2 linked regions of the Drosophila melanogaster genome follow. The protein of the gene in region 1 interacts with the protein of each later gene in a pairwise test. Each region holds a gene or a part of one and is shown on either strand. Other genes may lie near its edges.

What was found. Proteins that work in one complex are often made in the same cells at the same time.
Region 2: the proteins of CG5888 (region 1) and TwdlF interact in a two-hybrid assay, tested with the Drosophila melanogaster proteins (one large-scale study listed by BioGRID).

Annotation. Positions count from the first base shown.
Region 1 is NT_033779.5:16,445,164-16,450,267, forward strand, and holds the start of CG5888 (uncharacterized protein), read right to left. Parts: upstream 3,307-5,104; 5' UTR 3,151-3,306; intron 2,343-3,150; coding exon of another isoform or gene 2,234-2,342; exon of another isoform or gene 2,167-2,233; intron 1,631-2,166; exon of another isoform or gene 1,557-1,630; coding exon of another isoform or gene 898-1,556; intron 827-897; coding exon of another isoform or gene 166-826; exon of another isoform or gene 115-165; intron 1-114. Other genes in the region: Idgf1 (imaginal disc growth factor 1), read left to right, coding at 166-826, 898-1,556; Idgf2 (imaginal disc growth factor 2), read left to right, coding at 2,234-2,342, 4,023-4,580, 4,640-5,104.
Region 2 is NT_033777.3:4,245,130-4,248,980, forward strand, and holds TwdlF (TweedleF), read left to right. Parts: upstream 1-1,890; 5' UTR 1,891-1,931; coding exon 1,932-1,955; intron 1,956-2,014; coding exon 2,015-3,055; 3' UTR 3,056-3,184; downstream 3,185-3,851. Other genes in the region: TwdlG (TweedleG), read right to left, coding at 3,722-3,851.

The sequences.
Region 1 (5,104 bases):
GGAAAACATTGACAGGAACTACGTAATGCCTGAAAACCAGATAATGGCATCATCGGCAGAACAGTGAGATAAGCAAAAATACAGCAGCTAAGCTATAAAGCTTTTGAACGAGATTTCAGTTGCTAATTATCAGCCATAAAGTCAGGACGTGGTCTCTACCAAAAGATGAGATTCCAGTTGTTTTATATACTGGGCTTGCTCAGTGTGACAAGTTTGACCCATGCTGCCAGCAATCTGATTTGTTATTATGACTCCAACTCGTATTTGCGCCAAGGTTTGGCCAAAATGCATACCAACGAATTGGATTTGGCCCTGCAGTTCTGCACCCATTTGGTTTACGGATATGCGGGCCTGAAGTCCGGTACCCTCGAGCTATTCAGTCTGAATGTGGACCTGGACATGTTCTACTACAAGGACATCACCGCCCTGCGACAGAAGTTTCCTCAACTGAAGATTCTCCTCAGCGTGGGTGGAGATCGCGATGTGGATGAGGCCCACCCCAATAAATATGTAGAGCTTCTGGAGGCGAATCGCACGGCTCAGCAGAATTTTATAGACAGCAGCATGATTTTGCTTAAGCGAAATGGATTCGATGGCCTTGATCTCGCGTTCCAGTTACCCCGTAATAAGCCCAGAAAAGTCCATGGATCCCTTGGATCTTACTGGAAGTCGTTCAAGAAGCTTTTCACTGGTGACTTCGTTGTGGACCCGCAGGCGGAGGAGCACAAGTCACAATTCACCGATCTCGTTGGAAATATAAAGAATGCCTTTCGATCTGCTAATCTGATGCTGTCTCTGACAGTCCTGCCCAATGTGAACTCCACTTGTAAGTATATATCCTATTTTTACATATAGTAGGAACTATTTTATTAACCACCTAATCAATCATTTCGTTAGGGTACTTCGATGTCCCCAAACTGCATCCCCAGTTCGACTATATAAACCTGGCGGCCTTCGACTTTCTCACCCCACTACGAAATCCCGAGGAGGCGGACTTCACAGCTCCGATTTTCTTCCAGGACGAACAGAATCGCTTGCCCCATTTGAATGTGGAGTTCCAGATTAACTATTGGCTGCAGAATCATTGTCCTGGCCAAAAATTGAACCTGGGAATAGCCAGTTATGGCAGAGCATGGAAATTATCGAAGGGATCTGGACTCAGTGGTGCTCCCATTGTTCATGAGACATGTGGAGTTGCACCCGGCGGAATACAAATCCAGAGTGCTGAGGGCTTACTAAGTTGGCCAGAGATTTGCTCGAAGTTGTCGCAGAACGCATCCGCTCAATATAGAGGAGAATTGGCGCCGCTCCGCAAGGTCACGGATCTCACCCAGAAATACGGAAATTACGCTCTCCGGCCAGCAGATGATAATGGAGATTTTGGCGTATGGCTGAGCTTCGATGATCCGGATTTTGCTGGAATAAAGGCAGTATATGCCAAGGGCAAAGGACTCGGCGGAATTGCCCTTTTCGATTTAAGTTACGATGACTTCCGTGGACTTTGCACTGGCCAAAAGTACCCCATACTGCGGTCAATTAAGTACTTTATGGGATAAATGATTTGTTTGTTAAGCCTAACAAAGCCATATATTTTAAGTTTTCTAATAAATGTTTCATTTGAATTACAAATATTGAAGCGCATGTTTGCGGTTGAACACATTATTTAATAATCGGTCTCAGTGAGAAAAAACCTTTTTGGCAAAAATACAAATCATTGGTTTGTAATTTACTAAAAACCCACAATAATATATTCAAACACATACGAGTTGCAAAACAAAACTGAATTCTATAGTGCGTGTGATAAACTAAATCATGTGGTATAGACGGGTATTTCCACCGCTTTTAGTTCTATATATGTACACTTACGAAACCAATCAGAAACACTGTTTTCGAATTCTAATCAGCAAGCGCGTTTCAATGTTTTCAGATTATTTGCTTGTTTTTTTTTTTTTAATTTTAGAGGTCACAACGTTTTGACCCTGCGTCTGCCTCGTCGCAATCGTCGTCATTAATTTCTGTGTACACAATTAAGTCATTGCGAGAATAAGTAAGGCAATGAGCTCGGCTTCAGATCGGCTTTCAGACCCCTCTTAAAGCTCCGCTCAAGCTTTTTGTCATCGGCTTGGGGCTGGGGTTTTGGTTTCGGTTTCGTTTTCCATTTCGATTTCAGTCTCAGTTCGATTTCATTTGATCTGCTCTGCGGTTGTGCCTATAGAGATATATCCCTGGCACCATGAAGGCGTGGATCTGGTTTACGTTTGTCGCGTGCCTCTTTGCGGCAAGTACAGAAGCTGCCTCCAACTTAGTCTGCTACTATGACTCTTCGAGTTACACCAGGGAAGGTGAGTGAGGTGGTCGGAATACTCCAGAAAGTGAATATGACAGACAAATAATATATACATAGCTTTAGAAAACTTAGATCACAGATCGATGAGGTTTTAACTTGTTGTAAAATATTCTATCTAGCAATCAAACACAGAAAAAGTTACAACGTAAAAACAATTTAGTTGTTCAAACTGGTTCCATTTAGCACTAGAGTATTATAAGTATTACTCACTAAAATGTTGTTGATCTGTTTTAAATTCTTTTAATGAATGAAAACTGACCAACTTAGGTTTTATGAATATACACACTTGATTGTCATCCAAAATGCCTTTTGAAAAGCTTTGAAAAACAGTAATTCTGGTAAAACCTTATTAACCAACTAAGCCACGTTTGAACTGAACGACACATTTAGTAAATGAACTAAAATATGAGGAATGGGAGTAAAATTGAAAGTATTAATCATTTATTCAAAGTTATCCAAAAAGCCTACCAAAATACCGCCTGTCTTTTGAGTAGCGTGTGCCAAATTTACAGACGAATGAAAACAAAAGCATCCTAATCGAGTTACATAACCATTTCTGATTCAAAACAAAACTCGGACTTAATTTAATTCAACTTGCAGTGCTTATCGCCTGGCGAGCGAAACAGAGAGATAAAGAGAGCCAAAGCTAGTTTTATAGAGGTCAGTGGCTTATCTGGCCAGTTTATTTCTTTTTCAAAAATAAAACACAGAGACTGGCTCTCCCGCAGAGTTTCGCTCGCAAAGCGATAAAAAGCAGAAGTTCTGATCGGATTAACAAGCTAATTTGAGCGGGTGTAACTTACCAAACAAAAATAATGGAATGAATTCTCAAAATATGGCAATTAGTTGATTATTTTGGTATAGGGCGAGTTAAGTCTATATTATTGAGCCGATCCCACGCATTCGAAATGAAAAACCAGAGCGTTCAACACACAGCGAGTCCAGCACGACAACTGCCCCGCCAGCGGACGCTGACTTGGCACCAGCGATCCGAGCAAGTGGCAAGCAGAGCACCAAGTGACTCAGCAGCGCTGCACAGTGTCCTTAGGATAGGGGAAAAATGAGATAAATATCGTCCAATAGATGCATTCGATAGGTAAATAAATAAAATTAATAATTAATTAAATAAATTTAAATTTGTAAAAATTTTTAAAACAGGTAGAAGTTAAAATGACTGAAGTTGATTTGTTAGCAGCTCAAATGTATGTTCAGAAATATGTTTAGGTACAAACCGAAAAGTTCATTTATAAATTCTGCTTTCAAATAACGTTTAATTAAATATTCTTATATAAATGCAAATGATTATATTTTACATTAAGCTCTTAACACAACTCAACCCACTGTGCTCTGCAGCCGAGCCAAACAATAATAAACCGCTCGCTGGGCTCACACTGTTGGCGTTCAATTAAGCCACTGAAGTCGACGAGACAATGGATCAGCATCCGAGAGGAGGTGGCTCTGGTCAGGGGGAGATACACCGATCTCCGATCTCCGCTCTCCGGTAGTTTTCACCGAGAGCGAGAGTGTTGGGTGTCGGATCACTGTGCGCAGATAGTGTCCCACAGCAATGACCACTTCGAGTCTCTGGGATTATTTGTTATTCGAGTGCAGCTCGTTGTACTTTTCGTGCATACTAAATATGCCATCTTTTGAATTTAAACTGTGTTTTTTCCAGGTCTGGGCAAGCTGCTCAATCCCGATCTGGAGATCGCCTTGCAATTCTGCAGCCACTTGGTCTACGGCTATGCTGGGCTGAGAGGTGAAAACCTACAGGCGTACAGTATGAACGAGAACCTGGACATATACAAGCATCAGTTCTCCGAGGTTACCTCCCTCAAGAGGAAGTATCCCCACCTGAAAGTTTTGTTGAGTGTGGGCGGCGATCATGACATCGACCCTGATCATCCCAACAAGTATATCGATCTGCTGGAGGGCGAGAAGGTTCGTCAAATTGGTTTCATCCGATCGGCCTATGACTTGGTTAAGACCTACGGCTTTGATGGCTTGGATCTGGCCTATCAGTTCCCAAAGAATAAGCCAAGAAAGGTTCACGGTGATCTTGGACTGGCATGGAAGAGTATTAAGAAGCTGTTCACCGGCGATTTCATAGTGGATCCACACGCAGCCCTTCATAAGGAGCAGTTTACCGCTTTAGTAAGGGATGTAAAGGACTCCTTGAGAGCTGATGGATTTCTGCTCAGTCTGACTGTGCTGCCCAATGTAAACTCAACATGTAGGTATTTCAAAATAATAACAATATGTAATTATACTTTAGTTTAATTATGACTTTAGGGTACTTTGATATTCCCGCTCTGAATGGCCTGGTGGACTTTGTGAACCTGGCTACCTTCGATTTCCTGACACCAGCCCGTAATCCCGAGGAGGCGGACTACAGTGCTCCCATCTACCATCCCGATGGATCGAAGGATAGGTTGGCACACCTTAACGCTGATTTCCAGGTGGAGTACTGGCTATCTCAGGGATTCCCATCCAATAAGATCAATTTGGGAGTTGCCACCTATGGTAATGCATGGAAACTTACCAAGGACTCGGGTCTCGAAGGAGTTCCTGTTGTGCCGGAGACAAGTGGACCAGCACCCGAGGGCTTCCAGTCCCAAAAGCCTGGATTACTAAGCTATGCTGAAATCTGCGGAAAGTTGTCCAATCCCCAAAATCAATTCCTCAAGGGCAACGAATCGCCACTGCGAAGAGTTTCTGATCCCACCAAGAGATTCGGAGGCATAGCTTATCGCCCAG
Region 2 (3,851 bases), on another chromosome or scaffold:
CAACTACAACGGTGGAGCCTCGGTCTCCGTCTTGGACTTTGCGTCTAAGGTCATTTCAAGTGGAACTGACGACGGGAATGCGTTCGTTCGCAAGGTAAACGCACCGTCGACAAGCCCGTACTTGCCACCTTCTCATGAAAAGTATTAGTTTAAACGCAAAATAATCAGTATAAGATATAACCGAAGACATTAGTGCCTTTGGTATAACACTATGTTTCAATGTCGTGTTACCGGGAAAGGAGATTAGCCGTGACTATATGCAATCATTACGGACGTAGTCCACGTAGTGAAAAAGAATGTGCCACGGGGACCACAATATGTATAGGAATCAATGATAATCTGTTTTTTCTATAATAATAATTTGTGCTAAACAACTTTATTTAAAAAACATAACGGCATTTTTAATTCTATGCATGCTTAGATAACGTTTTTTGTACCGACAAAACTGTACAGGCCATAAAATTCCCCTTACTTATGGTATTTAATAGTCGTAAAAACAAAAAACAAAAAAGAATGCTGTAGTCGAGTTCCCCGACTATCAGATACCCGTTACTCAGATCAATTCACCACTTTTCTGGTATTTCGATAGATATTGGAGAATAAACTGAGGAAAAATTTAATAAATTTAACAAGGCAAAAAGCTGCGTCTATGTACATGATCTCAACTCTCTAGCCTCTATAGTTCCTGAGATCTCGACGTTCATATGGCCGAGTCGATCTGGCCATGTCTGTCTGTTCTATAAAAGCTGGATGGATTAGATCAAACACCCACAAATCGCCAAAAGCTGCCACACTGTTCAAAATTGTAAATAACATATTTTTAATTTTTTCCTGCCAATTTCGATGGGTTTTTGGCATGTTGTTTTGCCTCCACTTTAACGCTAACAAACCGCCCAAAAAATGTTGCGATTACTCGTTCGCACTCCCTCTAGCTGAGTAACGGGCAATTTATTTCATTTCGTCAAATGAAAACTTGATTTTTGGAATGTTTTCGATTGAAACTTAAAAACATCGACTCGCCTAATTAACGCTCAACTGCCGACCAAAATTCGCTTTACCACACTTTATAAGAATATTTATATTACTCGTAGAGTTAAAGGGTATACTAGATTCGTTGAAAATTATGTAACAGGCAGATCCAACCATATAAAGTATATATATTCTCGATGAGGATCAATAGCCGAGTCGATCTGGCCATGAACGTCTGTCCGTTATTTCCATTACCGTTATTGCCCATTATTTCCAATTACCGTTGTGCAAGTAGAAAACAATTGAACTAGCAAGTAAAAGCATTACCCATAACAATAGTATTGTTAGCATGATTCCAGGTTGGATTCAAGCCATGAAGTGCTATATTTCTGAAGAACTGAGCATATTTTCACAAATATCTTTGAGCTTATTGGTTTTTCTGCATTTTTGAAAAGACTTGTTTAATAACAAATTCATTTATACAACATCTGCGACAAAGCGAATTTTATATGCAGATAGATCGCTTCCCACAATTTTGGTCATGAATGTGTATAAATTGGGTTTCCGTCCATAAAACTTACTTTCTTCATATTATCCCAGTTTTGTCAATCGAACCGCTTTACCTATTAATATTTTGCATATAAATATATTCAGCGTTGACAATGGGGATCTCAAGCGATTATTTAAATTTGAACGCAGCGTTGGTCGCCAAGTTAGATAAGATCCCGGACTGTTCAAGCAGTGCATCTGCGCACACGGATCTGTGATTTGGCAACCGCCAATGTGAAACGTTACATATTCGAAGTTGTGAAGTCTATAATAGATTCATACGATTTATGGTAGTGCCTAATAATTTTTTCATTTATTGGGAAAACGATGCCAGCCTGGACAGATATAAAAACATAGCAATGGGAAGGCAGGGCATCATTCGACCCTAGCAGCTCAGACAGTTCAAAGTGAAAATGAAGCAGTTCGTTGTTCTAATGGTAAGCAACTGGCACATGAGCGATCCCCGCAACAACTAACACTTAATGTGCTCTTGCAGTGCCTGGTGGCCCTCACAGCAACAGCTCCTCAGGGATACAAGTACCAACCTCAGCTGCCAGCCCTTCCCATTGGCAATCTTCGTCCTCTGACACCCATTTCGTCAAGTGGAATATACGCAAGTGGCGCCGTCCCATCTTTCCCACAGGCCGGTGCTCAGCCCGCGATCGGTGTCCAGCCAGCCATTCAAGCCGTGCAGACCATCGTTGCCGCTCCTGCTCCCGCCCCCGCTCCCGCTCCTTTGTCGATCTCACTCCCAAAGGAGACTTTCCTTACTGCTTCGCCCCAGCAAAACCTGATCAGCACTGTGCAGCAGCAGCCTCAGCAAATCGTGTACCAGCAGCAACCGCAGCAAGCCCTTCAGACCCAGTTCGTCCAGCGCCCCGCTATCGTTACCAAGGACATTTACATCCACTCCGCCCCCGAGGAGAATGAGGAACTGCGGCAGGACGAGCCACTTCTGGAGAATGTGCCCATCCGCAAGAACTACCGGATCGTCTTCATTAAAGCGCCTTCCCAGAATCTGAAATATACCGCCGCGGCCCTGAAGCGGGCCCAGTCAAGCAACGAGGAAAAGACCGTCATCTACGTGCTCTCTAAAAAGCCCGATCTCACTGAGATCCAGCAGCAGCTGCAGGTTACCCAGTCTGAGGCCAAGGTTCAAAAGCCGGAGGTCTACTTCATTAAGTACAAGACCCAGGAAGAGGCCCAGCGCGCCCAGCAGGAAATCCAGGCCCAGTACGACGCCTTGGGAGGTGCAACCCACATTTCGGACGAGGGAGTGGCTCCCATCGCCAGCGTTTCGAGTGGCTCCCTTAACCTGGGCAGCTTTGTGCCCCAGCACTCCCAAGCTGGCCAAACCATCATCCACTCTCAGGCGCCAACCATTATCCAGCCACAGGGTCAGCCCATTGTTCAGCTGCAGTCTATTAACCAGGGGGTCCAGGGGGTCCAGCAGCAGAGCTCCTTTGTGCAGAAGTCCACCTCCTCATTCGCTCCCTCGGCGCCATCAAGGAAGTATGTGCCGGCAAAGACTTTTTAAAAAGTTGTAGTAAGAATCCTATCGCTTTCATTGTTTTATATCAACCATCATACTGTAGTAAATTTTAATTTATTTTTAATGCAAAAGTCGAAAGTCGAAAGAAATATAAAAAAATTTAAATCGAAACCCAAAAAGCCTTCTGTTTCTAGTACTCGTTTTTAAGTTTAATCCTTTTAATATTTTAGATAGGTTTTGTTTTAGGATTTGGAATTAATCTTTCATTTAAGGCATAGCTTGAGTTTAATGTTTCTTATGAAAACGCTGTTTATTTTTATCACAAAAATGTTTCAATGGGCTAAGAGACTATGACAATGACTTCTTTCTCGCAAGAAAGTTTGGACCATCTCTTTTGGCATTAAGCCAACAGCCATAATAATCAAGTTTTCGTGTGGCTTAATCGTTGTTATGTAAGTCAAATCACATGCTAATTTATGCGACCGGTTTTCGGCTTGGATGGCTGTCATTGGACTAATGGATGTGGTAACATGGTCCATAGAAAACTATTTTGTTACTTTGAAGTATTGAAACTCGATTTCATATTTGAATATGGCTGCAGAGTCGCTTTCTATCATAAGGCGGAGCTCAAAATATGAACTTTATTTAACTAAATGTGTAAATTACAAGAGTTCAAGTCTTAAAATTACGACAGTGGCCTTGGAGTTGTACCTAAGCACGCAGATTAGTTGGCAAGTAGCTGTTTGGCAAGGAGCCAGAAAACTGTCCGGATGAAATTCCGTTGTTGCGCTGGTTGTCCAGTACGCCAATCACGGATGTAACGGGTGCAACTCCCTCGTCA